2 linked regions of the Pelodiscus sinensis genome follow. The protein of the gene in region 1 interacts with the protein of each later gene in a biochemical or structural test. Links are inferred from orthologs where the notes say so. Each region holds a gene or a part of one and is shown in the gene's direction. Other genes may lie near its edges.

Region 1 (6,931 bases):
TATTTCCTCACCTTGCTAATGGGGACGTGTCTTTTTCCAGCAGGTCAGTATGTCGTTGATCTCAACTTATCACGTGTCAATTCATTACCATGGGCCTTTTGTGGTTCTCGATCACATTTACAATTTCTGTCCTACCCAGTTATTCAGTCTGGTCTCAACTGGTTATGTTGGGTTTTCTAAGTAACGATGTTCCTGCGAAACGCGAGGGCATTCTTGGGTGCGCCTGTGGCATGCAAAGTCCCTCGCTTGCACCGCCATGGAGCCGGGCAAAAGGTCCCAAGCAGATGTGAGCTAACTGCTTTCTGGGTGAAGGGTCCCACACAAAACTAACAACTTTGCCTTGCTCAACATACAGGACGTGGCCTGTAGGTCTCTTGTGTTACAGCCAAACTACCAGAATAAACAATTGTTTGGGGAAAAAATACAACAGCAGCAGGGGGGTTAGCTAGAGCAGGCATTGCCCTTTAAGCATCTTTTTTTCCTTTTGTCCTTGCGGCCTAGAAAGAGTTGCACTGAACAGTGTCTTGCTTAGTCTTCACACTTGCTCTGCAAAAATACTTGCAGGGTCAAAGCCGTGCCCCCCCCCCCCCAACTGCTAATTAAAACAGTATGTAATGCTAATTTAATTAAAAACCAGTAAATGACAAAAAGGGGCAGATATAATTGTATTCATCACCTGCTTATTAATATTAATTGTATGGAAGTTAATTTAGCTAAATAAGGGTTAATGTAAAGTAGTAATAAATGGGCAAATTAACATACTAAAATAAATAAAGTCTAACTGGTGCCAAATCATTGCCACTCACAACATTGTGTTGGGGGTCCAAGGTAAATGTGCGTCAACAGTAAAGTAGTCCATTAACCCTATCTGCTCCTCTGCCGCCTGTTTCTTCTCAAACATCTGGCATTATGAACAGGATCCCAGGGGAGAGTTGTGCCAGATCATCCTGTCTCCATGGGTAAGTCTGATGGGCTCTTTACTGCAACCACTGTTAGGGATTTTATTAACAGATTGGTAGGGAAATGGGAGGAGATCCTTATATGGATCCCTCCAGGCATCTTCAGGATTGGTCTGCCATTGAGGGGTGGGTGGAGGCCTCCCTGGCATCCAGGGATAGAAAAAGGTTGTGCTGGTGCAAGCTCTGTGTGAGGCTCTGTCGTGTTTCTGAAAAAAAGTTACTAACCTGAAAACGAAAATAACTCCACAGCAAATTGCTAAAAAGCAGCAAACCGTTAACCAAAGTGTGTTGGCAGCCACAATGGCTGAAAACGCATGTTATTTTTAATTCTCTTAAGTTAATAAAACCTGGCTCTAAAGAGTCAAACAAATGCCTTAAAGCAAGCTTCTCACCCCCATCCTGTCACCCACCTCCAGAGAAACAGAGGCTAGGGACACCATTCCTACTCTTCCTGGCTAATAACCATTGATGCACCTAACCTCCATTAATCTATTCAGCTCTTTTTTGAACCCTGTTAAAGTCCTAGCCTTCACCACATCCTCTGGCAAGGAGTTCCACAGATTAAACTGTGTGCTGAGTGAAGAAAAACTTCCTTTTGTTTGTTTTAAACCTACTGCCCATTAATTTCATTTGGTGATCCCTAGTTCTTATATTGTGGGAATAAGTAAATAACTTTTCCTTATTTACTTTTTCAAAACCAGTCATTATTTTATAGACCTCTATCATATCCCCCTTCACCCTTGTAAGTCTCCTCTTGTCTAAGCTGAAAAGTCCGAGTCTTTTTAATCTCTCTTCACATGGGACCCGTTCCAAACCCCTAATAATTTTTGTTGCCCTTTTCTGAACCTTTTCCGATGCCAGTATATCTTTTTGGAGATGAGATGACCATATCTGTAACTAGTATTCAAAATGTGGGTATAGCATGGTTTTATATAGAGGAATTAAGATATTTTCTGTCTTATTCTCTATTCCTTTTTTAATGACTCCTAGCATTCTCTTTGTTTTTTTGACTGGGGCAACAACAGTTTAAAAACAGCTTTGTCATGCAGAGTAAATAACAAGACAGCAAACATGGAACTGCTATGTACTTCAGTCACCTTCCTGATTAAAATGGTTCACCTTGTCTTAAAAGACAGTCTTTTGCAGCTACCCAATTTGCAGCCAAGGGTTTTAATTCAAACACTTATTGTTTTATGAAATGTGGCTTATGAATATAAATATTAATAAGTCAAAGGTGCTTTAGACAAAATACCTCATGAAACCTATAATGTAACAGTTTGCTGGATCTGTATATCTTATTTTGGTCCGTGTATCATTCTTGTATGTGAAGTTAGAAATATGAAGTGTGAGTCTGTTTATAGTTTAAAATGTATTAATGAGAGCCATTACTGGTGTTCTGGAAGCCTAATGACTTGGTGATCAGCTCAGTGACTTGTGAGCAGCCTTATTTGTCCTAAAAGCCCAAGTGGTGGTTGGTGCTAGAAAAACAGGTGACCATACCACCTGGTACTGAAATCTTTTTTAATTCTGTTCTCCGTGGCACACCTCCGACTGCCTTGGAACACAGTTTAAGAAACACTGACTTAAATCCCACTGTGTGTACTTAGTAAGAACACTTTTGTTTACTATCAGACCCAGTGTAAATAATTGTTACCTGGAGGGAAGCAACCACTCTGCTTCTTTCTGGCTATGTCTACACTGCAGAGCTTTTCCGGGATACTGGCGATATCCCGGAAAAGCTATACCGCATCCAAGGAACGTGTCTTTTTTCTGGACAGTTTCCCAAAAAGCAGACGTGTTCTTTTGGCATCTCGGTAGTCCTCATTGTATGAGGAAGAAGGGATGTTCTGAAAGAGGAGGTTTTTCCGAAATTTGGCCCCATGCAGTTGGCCAAATTTCAGAGAAGCCTCTTCTGAAAGAAAGAAAAAAAAAAAAGCGGAAAAAGATACGCAAATTGTGCTTTGCAATTTGCGTATCTTTTTCTGACTTTTCTTTGCGGTCTGGACATAGGGTCGTAGAGGGGTAACTTTCAAACCACGCAGTCCTGTGGCACCTTAGACTATGTCTACACTACAAGGTTTTTGTGCAAAAACAGCCGTTTTGGTCAAAAACCGGTGGAGTGTCCACACCTCAAGCACATCTTTGCGCAAGAAACTCAACAGAGCCGAGGGCTTTGGCCAGCAGCGCCTCCTCTGGGCGAGGATAACTCCTCTTTGCACTACAGCTCTGGGGCACAAAGGCAGGCGTGGCAGCGGGGGGCTCCCGGAAACGCGCAGGTGCGCTGTCCTGGCCGTGCGGGGGGACGCTCGCTGGCGGCCGGCGCGTGTTTGCCGCGGAGCCCGGCAGTGCAGACAGAGCCCAGCGCCTCACGGCCGGGCCGGGCGGCTTGAGGGAGCGGGCTGCTCCAGATCTGGGTCCGGTTACCCCAACTCTGCGCCTGGGCTGGGGGGTTGCTGGGCCCTGTCGCAGGCGCTCAGCCACAACCAACGGCCGCCGCAGACCGTTGCAGTCCGTGTTTTCCCGCCCGGGCGCGCGCAGCGACCGTTACCAGCCGGCCCGCAGCGTGGGGGCGGGGCCAGCTTCCGCAGAGGCGCGCGGCGCCCCCCCCCCCCCCCCGGCGTCCAATCAGCCTGTCGCCGACCTTCTGCACATGGCGGCATAGTCCAGTCCCGCACGTACTCAGGACCTTCCTCCTGCTCCTGCCACCCGCGGCGCGCTCCCCCTCAGCGACCGTCCCCCAATGGCGGGTGCACCCGCCGCGCCAGTCGGCCCGTTCCACGCCCTCCCCTCGATGGCGGCTCTCCGCGCGCGCCCCTTCGAAAAGCCGCAGAGAAATGGCGGCCGCCCCTCGTGACCTTCCAATGGCCGCGCGGCCTGCGCGGGACGATGACGTCTCCGGACCGTCGCCCTTTTTCGCGGGCTACTTGTCGTCACGTCTGGTAGGTGAGGTCAGCGCAGGGGCCGCCATTTTGGGTGGCGGGGCCCGGAGCCGAGCGGGGGGCTTGGGCGGCGGCGGCCCGCAGCGGGAGCGGCCCCCATGGCCGGGCAGTTCGACGCCGAGGACCGGGCGAGCTGGTACTGGGGGCGGCTGAGCCGGGCCGAGGCGGTGTCGCTGCTGCAGGGGCAGCGCCACGGGACCTTCCTGGTGCGGGACTCGGGCACCATCCCCGGGGACTTCGTGCTGTCGGTGTCCGAGAGCTCGCGGGTCTCGCACTACATCGTCAACAGCCTGGCGCCGGCGGGCGGCCGCAGGGCGGGCGGCGAGGGCCCCGGGGCCCCGGGTGAGTGCGCCGCGCCGGGGGGGGGGTTGTCCGACCCGGGCCTCGCTCGCTGGGCGCGGCCCAGCCCCCTGCTCGGGCTCCGCGCGGCGCGGGGCTTTCCCGCCCCCTGCGGCAGCGCTCGCGGCGGGGCAGCCACTCGCCCCAGATCGCCCGTCGCTCGGGGATCGCCCCGCCCGCCGGAGGCAGCTGACGCTCTAGCGCTGCCTGGTCGTGGAGCGATCGCACGAGGCGTTTGAAAACATTTGGCATAGTAGAGACTTGGGGGTGTGGGGGAAAGACCGTTAAATTCCTCGTTTTAATGAGAGATTCTTGAAGGGGGGGGGGAGATTTCCTTTGTTTAATTTCAAACCTCCAAATGACCGAGTCTGAAAAGGAAATATTTGAATTGCGTAATTTAAGTATTTAAACCGGTAACCTCTCTGAGATGTTACAAGTGGATGCTAAGCAAAATTACCCTGATTTTCTCCTTTCATTTGTGGAGAATAAGCAGATGTGTTATGCCTTCTAGAATGGCTTGAAATCTGATACATGAAAATACAAGTGTCAAACTGTGTTTTTAATCCAGTCACACAATATCATACATATAGGATCAAAGAAAAGTGGTTATACTTACCGGCTGGAGGACTGTATCCAAAAGCAGTGCTTCTGAATTTAGGAGTCATGCTGGACACAAGTTCCCAATGCAGCGCTGTTGCTAAAAGGAGTAATGTGATCCTTGGATGTATAAATGGAAATATTGAGCTGTAAGATACTACTTTTGAGTGGAGGATCACTGTAACCATTATTAGAATGTGTTCCATTCTATTGGCCACACTCCAAAAAGAATATGGAAAAATTTCGAGACAGTCCAAAAATTAGTCTCTTTGCTATTCTGGAAAACCTGAAATTCAGCAAGAGTAAATTAGTTCAATGTATTTAACTTTAAGAGGCGGTTACAAGGTGAATTGAACCTGGTATTTAAGTACCTTTGGAACCAGGATACTTATTCTGGAATAAAGTCTCATGTTTGCCTGTACAGACACATCAGAAGACCCAATAAGCAGTAGGGACTGGAAGTTGAAGCTAGTCAAATTCAACTGGAAATAAGTGTAAACTTTTGTGTGGAGAAGCAGCTAACTTTGGGAACAATTTAACAAAGAATGTGATGGATTCTCTATCACTTGACTGAATGCAGTCAAAATAGGACATTTAACAAGACATCTTCTTCCAAATTCAAATACAGGTTTTTGGGTTTGAGAAATTAATACGTGAAATGTTATGGCTGGTGTCATGCTGGACGGAATAAATTATCATAATGGTCCATTCCGGTGTCAAACCTTTTGAGTCTGAATTTTCTGCACCACTGCCTTTAAAATGGCACCAGAATGGGCATGGCAGATATGCCAGCCTTTCTGCTGGGGTATTAGCTTTTGTTTTGTAGTGTGCAAGATGCTTGGATTATAGGAACATAGTAATTCTCACACTGGATAAAACACATGGTCCATCTGATCCAACGTTTGTTCTGTGATGGAGGCCGGAACCACACAATTCAGAGGAAGGTGCAAGAAAGCTTGCAATAGGGAGTTGCAAGATAATCTGCTCCCTATTAAAACTCTCACTGACTCCCTAATACTTAGAAAATAGTTTGATCCCTGAAGCCTGGCATTTTTATCAGAGATGTGAATGGTTAACCAGTAAGCTTCACCCGTACCGGGTCATGCTTACCAGTTATGGTTAACTGGGAGCAGGGCCAGACTGGAGCAGCCCCCCCACCTGCTGTGGGCAGAGGGCTGCTCTAGTCTTTCTGGGCCAATGGTGTGTCGGCGAGGCCAGAACAGCCCATTGCGGGCAGGGGACGCTTGCAGCAGCCCAGCCTATGGTGCGTGCTGCAGACAGGGGGAGGGGAGGCAATCTAGCCCAGCTGGAGCAGCCTCCATTTAAGCAGTTCACTGGTTAAACATAACCTTCAGTGGTTAAATGATTAAATGGGATTTTTGCATCCCTAACTTTTAATACTTCAGTATTTACTATTAGCAATTTAATGTCCACTCTTTTTTAGTATTTTTCTTAGTCTATGCCATTCAGTAGCAGAGTTCCATCTTATAACCTGCGGGCAGGGAACCTGGCTGGGCTGCCATGGACAGGGGCTGCCTCAGTGGGCTACTTGCTAAAAGTGAGGCTTACTGGTTAACCTTTTACATCCCTACTGCAAACAAACAGCCTTCTTTTCCTGAGGCAGGGTCACTAGAATATGGAGATGTTTTTGGAGTGGGACAGATATCACTACTGAAAAATTGGGGTCCCAAAAGGACTTTGCTTTCCTTCTCAAAAAAGAGCCTAACACACACATCGTGAGCTTTTGTGGGTAAAGCCCACTTCAACAGATGACTGCTCATCAATGTAGATAAGTGAATGAAGTAATGGGATGGAGGGGAAAGAGTACAGTACAAATGTAATATAATCCGGCACCTTTAGGACTCAGAGGGTGCTGGATTATCAGATATGCCGAACTATTGGAAGGGGGGGCTATGAGGGGTCTGGGGTGGGGGGATACCACCTCAGACCCCTCATAGCCCCCCCTTCCGATAGTCTGGCTCTGCCCCAGGCATCCCTGGTTCAGCTGCTGCTGGTCAGTTTCAGCAGCAGCTGAATCAGGGAAACCTGCAGCAGAGCAGCTGGAGTGCTGCCGGGTTGGTCTGGTAGTGCCGACCC
Region 2 (7,812 bases), on another chromosome or scaffold:
CCCCACAGCCCCGCTTCTTCTGGAACGTCTCCAATATTCCCATTGTTGTTGAAAATTAACGTGAATGGCCAAAAGTGCTCCTTGGCCAGCTCTTCTAAAGCTCTTGAATTCAGATTATCTGGACCTGTAGATTTAAAAGTATATTGATGAAAATGCTTATATTGATTGGCTTTGGCTGTCAGTTTAAAGCAATGACCTCTAACCCTGTGTACAGCAGGTGTTCACAATATGGTTCCTAAAATGGTAGCAGTCACTGATTTCTAGTCTGCACTGGCAGCACGAAATTCAGGAGACCATAACTTGTGGTTGCAACAGAGAGTAGTTCTAGTAATAACAGTGTAGTGTGGACAAAGGTGTTTGAATATCTGTTAGCTTTTGCTGTAACTTATGTAATAAAAAGTACATGAGGTTTTTTTTGCTGGGTGCTAGTTATTTCATCAGCTTTGAGCTGGAAACGGTAGCTGCTTTTACAAAATAGGTTTAGTTCAGGGGTGGGCAAAAGGGTCTCTGTGGGCTGTATCCAGCCTGCCACATGGGTGGATCTGGCCCATGGAGGTCCTGCTGCTCCCCTGCCCCCAGGCCAATCAGAGCCTGGGGGTGGGGGAGCGCCCGAAGCCCCTCCCGCCCTGCCAGGAGCAGGTGGTGCTTTGAAGTGCTGTGCGCTGCTCGCGAGGGGAGGGGGGAGGAGCAGAGGAGGCTTCGTGCACTCCAATCAGGGTTTGGGGGCGAGGGAGCTGCATGAAGCTTCCTTCACCTTGCCCCGGCCCTGGGAGGAGCCTGCGGCACTTCAGAGTGCCACATGCTTCTCGCAGGGTGGGAGGAGGCTTCCTGTGTCTCCCACGCTCAGGCCCTGTTTGGCCTGGGGGTGAGGGAACGTGCCAAGCCTGCAATCACGGTCTGGGGGTGGGGTGGCCCACCTCTTCCTGTTTAGGCCCCTCCCCTTCCAGGGTGGACAGGGCTACTTCAACAAATTTTGAAGTGGTCCCGGGCAAAAATTATTGCCCACCCCTGGTTTAGTTTCACTCTTGTGAGTTCTCAGTAACTTTCTACAAAACACCAGTTTGATAACTACTTTGGAGGTACAGAAGAGTATTCTCTAGCTTGCAGCATACTAGTTTGCTGAATCTCAACAGATATTCTAACCTCATTCTCAGTGTGCTCTAATCATAGGACTGTGATCTAGAGCAGTGCTTTCCAGACGTTTTTAGTGCTGCATTTTGCCCCGCTCTTTTGTGATTCACAGAGGATCCAGATTTTGGGGGGGGGGGGGGTATTGTAAAAATCATAGGCCAGAGTCCTTCTCCTTGCCCCAGTGAAGGGGCACTGGCCACTCCCAGGAGCACCCTTCATCCTGACACTGGAATTCTGATCCTGGCCCAGGGTGATGGGGAGGCCCCAGGAGAAGGGAGGTTGGAAAGTGACCCCCATCCCACACTCATCCTGCAGTGGTGCTGGGTCTGATTCCCCAATCTGGGCGTTGCAGCTCAGCACACAGGATTGCAGTGCCACTTGGGTTTGGCCCTGATGCGCCTCCCTGGGGGATGACTGGGCCAAATACGCATGAGTGATGCTGGGGGCAGATGTGGGGGGTCACAGCACCACAGCGTTAAGTTGGCTTGTCTGGCTCCCACCATGTTGCGGTGGCTGGGCCAAGTGGAGTGGCACTGTCACCTTGCTCAGTAGATTGCAGCTGCCAGAAAGGAGAGATGGACCCAGCCTTGTGGAACAGGAGCTGCTGCTGTGCAATGAGTGCCATGTGGGCTTGCTCTGCACTGGGCCCCTCTTTCTGCAGTAGTGACCTGGGCATGACAGTAACTGCAGCTTGCCCAAGGATCTTAGCTTGGTGAATACTGATAAATAGGTCCTGAATATACACTCCTCGCCTCAGAGGTAGCTAAGCAACCGTTCACACAAATTCCATCGTTCTAAAACGCACTTGAATATTTAATCATTTCTAAAATCATCCATTTTCAAAAGGTTGAAATCTGCCTCCCCTGGCGACCCCCGAAAACAGATCACTCATCACCACCTTCTTGCATCCATACAGTCTATGAAAGCACTTGTCCTTCATCTTCAGCTGAGCAAGTCAAGGCATTTCTCTCTAATTCAGTAACTTTAATATCTAAACACTACAGTCTGTAATTCCAACATTTCAGGAAATGTTCTAGGGCTCAGTTGGAAAAATCCTATTGATTTGGGGAAAATTGGAATACCAGAAGGGGGCAAGTGAGGCCACAGGAAACTCCCTTCACGCTCCTCCCTAGTTGTCTGTAGATGGAAGAATTGGCTGATGGCATCAAGTAATATTTTCCTGTGTAACTAATATCTCTGCTTAGCCTCCCATTTGCCTTTAACTTGTTGACATCCTGAATGACTTCTCTACAAAACAGAATGAAGATTAATAACAATGGTGAAGGAAGGTGGGGAGCACAGCATCCCTAACTGGAGGGTATTAGGGGGCATGTTTGTAGAGAGATCCTGAAATAGAAAGGGATGGGAGGAGGCACATAGAGAGCATATGGGGGAATGGAGGAATGCAAGGAGCCCCTGGTATATTTAGTGACGCAATAAAGCCTGTAGCCCCCTATTGTAGGACTCTTCTCTCCCCCCCCATTTACATCTCCTCTCTACTTTTCCCCTCTCCTAGGTGTTCTTTTCTTTCATCACTGGAGTCTGGATTAGCCTATCCCTCTTGTGCATACTTGCTTTGGTGAGCAAAGATACATTCCTATTGGTCAGATTCTGGAAGAAAGGGCCCTAAGAACAATAATCAGGCTGTCTAGGCACTGAACCAGTCTAACCTGTTCCATTGTTTTTCCCTGCAGCTATTCACCTCTGCCAAAACTTGCCAATCCACTAACCTCCCTTCCTCCTGCAACCTGTTGAGCTAATGTTTAGGAAGAGCATGCTTAGTTATTAGGATTGTTAAAGAAATATATTGTCGTTCATTTATACTGCACTTTGCAAACATCAGTGTCAATCTTGTTAATCCTAGTATAGTGCTGTTGAAATGGTTTCAGTGGGACTTTTCTCTGTGGTGAAATCTATGGTTAGTAATAAGCATTTTTAAACCATCGTATTCAGATATAAGACCCATTTCCTTCCCTAAAGAACACAGAATGGAAGAGCTTGGTGTAGTTTTCAGCTCCACGAGAGGCGGTATCTATGTTGACGGGAGTAGCTCTCTGTCGACATAGCGCAATCTACCCTGAATGACATACCTATAGTGATATAAGTTTGTACTGTACACCTGTTCAATCAGTTCTATAAATACTAACTAGAAGATTTACCTGGCATTGCTCAGGTCCTTCAGAGCAGGGGCCTGAGGCTGTGGGAGGTGCAGGACTCAAAGCAGGGGCTTCGGGATATAGGGCGGCTCAGGGCAGGGGGCCAGGGATGGGGGTGGAGGAGACAGAGTTGGAGGTGAGGAGAGGCTAAGGGCAGGGGTTGAGGTTACAGGAGATTGGGAGGTGTGGGGGTGGGTAACTCAGGGCAAGGGGTGGGAGTGAATGTTGGCTGCTCCCTGAGGCTGGGGCGCTTACTGTGTCCCCTGTGGTCATTCGGGAGTAGAACTGTCCCTGCTATCACAGCCTTCCCTTTCCATTTGATTCGAAACAATAGCATTCCATGTGCTTTTCCCATTGTCCTGGAATAATCAAACCGTGACCTTGCTTTAAGTTATGATAAGAGGAAGCTGCATACCAAATTGGGTGGTCCTAGCTCTGGAACAAGCAGACTCAGACATATGGACAGGCAGACAGATGCACAAACTCTTTCAAATATATAGTAGACTAGACCAGTGTTTCTCAACCAGTGGTACGAGTACCCTTAGGGGTACTAGAGAGAAGTATGGGGGGGATGTCAACTCAACTGAAATTTGGAGAAAACTGATTTTTTGTTTTAAGTTTTATAGCACTTTATTTTTATACTTTTTGCACCAAAACATCGCCCGCCTGGCTACGATTAAGTTGTTTAAATAAATGTGTTGTAATGGTAGAAAAAAAGTTTGTGCGTCTGAAAACTGTAGGTACTGGGGGTACTTCATAAAAAAAATGTTGAGAAACACTGGACTAGACTATGCTGCCTCTCATGGGTATTTAATCCACCTATTAAAACATCACTTTCCTGTAGATAATGGTCTGTTCTCACTTTTTTTGAGTGGATTTGCAGGTTAAACTAAAGGTTCAGTGTTAAATAACAAAACTTTGCTTTTCTACAGTTCCTTATGTTTTAGGATGTCCAAAGTGCTTTACCAATGAGTTAAGGTCTCTGAGTCATCCCTGGGAAGCATGTAAATATCCTCAAAACAAAATTATGTAAAAGTCAGTTTGTGGCAGTGCTAGGAATAAAATCCAGTTTTCCTAACTTTTAGTCCCAGTTGACCATTTCCTACAGAGTTATTAAAATTATTTAGGATTTGGAATGTCCAACTTACTTCCCTGCCTCGGGGTACTATATGGCATAGAAATGATTTGTTAGCCTTCCTGCTTCAGCCTGGAAAGGGTTACAGCTGGAAATGCCTGTATCAGCCTGAGGAAAACATGAATCAGTATTAGTGGGTGAAGGAAGAATGGGAACCCTGGTACTTCTCACTTCCGATTTTCTCCTGTGATGTTTCAGGAGGTGTTGCATACAACTGACATTTCTGAGCCTGCCTGAGGTGGAAAGCAGTCTGTATGTACTGTATCATTAAAGAAGGGGAGAGGGACTGGGTGGAAAAAGAACCTCAGTTTTTAGCTCTTTCTCTGTGACTCCTCTGCGTTCTCCTCCTCTTGCTGCTTCTAGCCAGCTGCTCCTGCAGACTCTGTCTGTGTGTCTGTGTGTCTGTGTGTCTGTGTGTCTGTGTGTCTGTGTGTCTGTGTGTCTGTGTGTCTGTGTGTCTGTGTGTCTGTGTGTGTGTGTGTGTGTGTGTGAGCGTGCGTGTGCGTGCGCGCAAAACATGGAGGGAGGGACAGAAGCTCCTACTGCTGCTTTTACCAATATCTATACAGCCGCTTCCACTGCAGGGATGCTAGGATCTGGCAGCAATCGGGATGAATCCAAAAGGTCAGTGCTATCAATAAATCACCCACGGAGATATGCTCCTGAAAGGCGTTCTTTTTTTTAAAACCCTCCTCTAATAAAAAGAATGTTAAGCTGATACGTTAGCTGCTGCAGTGAACATAATTGTTTCACGCTGTGTCTTAGCCAACAATGTCTAATAAAAATTTAGAGCACGACAGTGTTTTTTAAAAAAAGCAAGCACGTCATTATCACAAAGATAATGCAAGTTCCTTTACAAAGCCTAAAGATAAGACCAGCGAGATTTCGAATATTGGTATAGAAGAAGGGTAAATTATTTCCTGCAGTCAGATTTTATTATAGATTATAGTAGATATAAAAAGTAGTTGGCTATAATAATTTGGTATTTTTTCATCCCTCACCCTTTATATGACCGTCTCTTCTGAAGCATTTTCCAGTAAAATAGGTATAAATTGTAGGAATTAGTGTAATTGAAACTTGCATTTATTTAATCTAAAAATAAAATGTTTTGTGTGATACTAATTTAAATAGGAAAAAATACATAATCCTTACCAGTTGTATTACGAGAACAGTAGTTGGTGTTCTCAGTGTACTTCTAATGTTTTTTTTCGTGGCTAACTGCTATTGCCACCGTATGGTTTTAGAAACTAGCTGTGAAAGTCCAGGTTATCATGTAGTTAAAATTCTTGTAGAATGAGGCAGTGTTGATTATCTTCAGGATGGATCTTCTCCTTCACCCTTGGCTTGCATTTATCCAGTGGCTGATAGGAAATAAGCCTCTATTGCTCTTCCAATCCAATTGAGCTTTTCTACTTCTGGACTGAGAGCACATAAATATTTCCTTGCGGAGAAAGAGGAGTGGAGAGACAGTTTAATTTAAAACTTGCCTTCTCTGGCACGGCTGTCACCCTCCTACCTGGCTTGCAGATTGAGGCTGTTTTGCAAAACCAAAAGTTATTTATGGACGTAGCTGTAGGACGCAGAAGACTTAGATTCTCCTATTTCAGTGCATGATACGTATAAATTAAGTTTAGCTATTTTATGCTGACTCCACCCACTTGGGTTTACACAGCCTCGGGTGCAGTGGATAATTTCTAGTAGTGTTTCAAAGGAACCCAAATAAATCTGGATTCCTTTGAATTTGTTTTCTCATAAGCTGCTGTTTTTTTCTTTCCTTCCTTCCTTGAGGGAACTGTTAATGTGGTCTCCATACAGCATTTGAACCACTGAGGAACTGAAATACCACGAAAAAATTCAAAGTTGTATAACATTGGGCCTCATTAATAGGCTTCTTTATTCGTGTAATAAGAAAAGCCTGGCAAAAGCCTAAACACAAATGTCTGAGATGAAAAATACTAGAACCCACACACTTCCTAATTTCTATTAGCCATGCAATTATAAATACACATTTCAAAATTCCCACACCAATGCAGAGGACTTTTGTAAATAGCAATGTCATGGGATTTTCTTCTTAGGAAATGTTGGGTGCCTAGCTCTGTGTACTGAGGCTGCAATTGTTTGCAATCAGATAACAGTGTTATGTTACTATATACTGTTTCCATTGCTGAAGATGCAAGAATGTTATTTGCTGGAGATCTGTTTTTCCTTATAGAAAATGTGCAGCATTCATCTAAATAATTCTGAAATGACAGTCCATAGGACAAATCTGTTTTAATTCCAGGAGGGATATATCCTTTGCAAATAATCGAAAACATGATGGAATTAGCATGATTCGCTCCTCCGCATCCTGCTTTTCAGTGTACAGATAAAAATCTGCACTGAGTCTGTCAGGATTCCAGTTAAAAGGATTGTGGGAATATTTTAAAGTTTTTGCTCCCTCCCCATCATGTGCTCCTGATACTGACATTTTGTTTTGTGTTGGTCAAGGAATTCTGATTGTTGGCACTGGTGTGAAGCTCAACAGTGCAAACTCCAGGGCCTTATTCATGCTGGCCTGCTTGGGGGAAAAACCATCTTCCTTGTGTGAGTCAGGACTACAGGTTTGGGTCCAGAAGTAGCAATTGTTTTGATTATTTTCTTTCTTTTGGGTATCAAATTGGTGCTGTTGAAAGTGGGACAGCTACCAAAGCATGACAAGACATAGTATAGGCAATGATTGCCCAAGTTTTGCTCTCGCGGCAAAGCAATATGCTTTATTTCTGATTTGCATCTCCTTATATTAACGCCAATTTTTGGCATTTCATGTTCTGTACGTGCCAAGTTGTGTGTGATGTAGCTTTGCGTCCAGGAAAATTACTCTGAGACCACTAATCTCGCTTATATTTGTGACCTGATCATGTCCTCTAGTAGTTCATGTTGAGAAGAAACACATTGTGCTGAATTCCCTCTCTTAGGATCTCTGGACTTTTCTTAGAAAAAGTATTCCAATATATCAGTAGAAAAACCAATACAGGCAGTCCCCGGGTTACGTACAAGATAGGGACTGTAGGTTTGTTCTTAAGTAGAATCTGTATGTAAGTCGGAACTGGCGTCCAGATTCAGATTCTGACTTACATACAGATTCAACTTAAGAACCCCAGGCGTCCCCAAGTCAGCTGCTGCTGAAACTGATCAGCGGCTGATTCCAGGAAGCCCGGGGCAGAGCAACTCTGCCTCGGGCTTCCTGTAGTCAGCGCTGGTCAGTTTCAGCAGCAGCTGACTTGGGGACGCCTGGGGCAGAGCAGCTGGGGTGCTGCTGGGTTGGTCCAGTAGCACCGCTCCTCGCTCCTCGGCGCTACTGGACCAACCCAGCAGCACCCCAGCTGCTCTGCCCCAGGCGTCCTGATTCAG

What was found. The genes of interacting proteins can lie anywhere in the genome.
Region 2: the proteins of CRK (region 1) and ARHGAP32 form a complex in vitro, tested with the Homo sapiens proteins (2 studies listed by BioGRID and IntAct, with this or other methods). The link is inferred for Pelodiscus sinensis from reciprocal best matches to the Homo sapiens genes CRK and ARHGAP32.

What each region holds. Positions count from the first base shown.
Region 1 is NC_134731.1:1,453,156-1,460,086, reverse strand, and holds the start of CRK (adapter molecule crk), read left to right. Parts: upstream 1-3,911; 5' UTR 3,912-3,996; coding exon 3,997-4,240; intron 4,241-6,931. UniProt on the Homo sapiens protein: Involved in cell branching and adhesion mediated by BCAR1-CRK-RAPGEF1 signaling and activation of RAP1.
Region 2 is NC_134736.1:11,486,348-11,494,159, reverse strand, and holds the start of ARHGAP32 (rho GTPase-activating protein 32), read left to right. Parts: upstream 1-4,796; 5' UTR 4,797-4,939; coding exon 4,940-5,046; intron 5,047-7,812. UniProt on the Homo sapiens protein: GTPase-activating protein (GAP) promoting GTP hydrolysis on RHOA, CDC42 and RAC1 small GTPases. May be involved in the differentiation of neuronal cells during the formation of neurite extensions.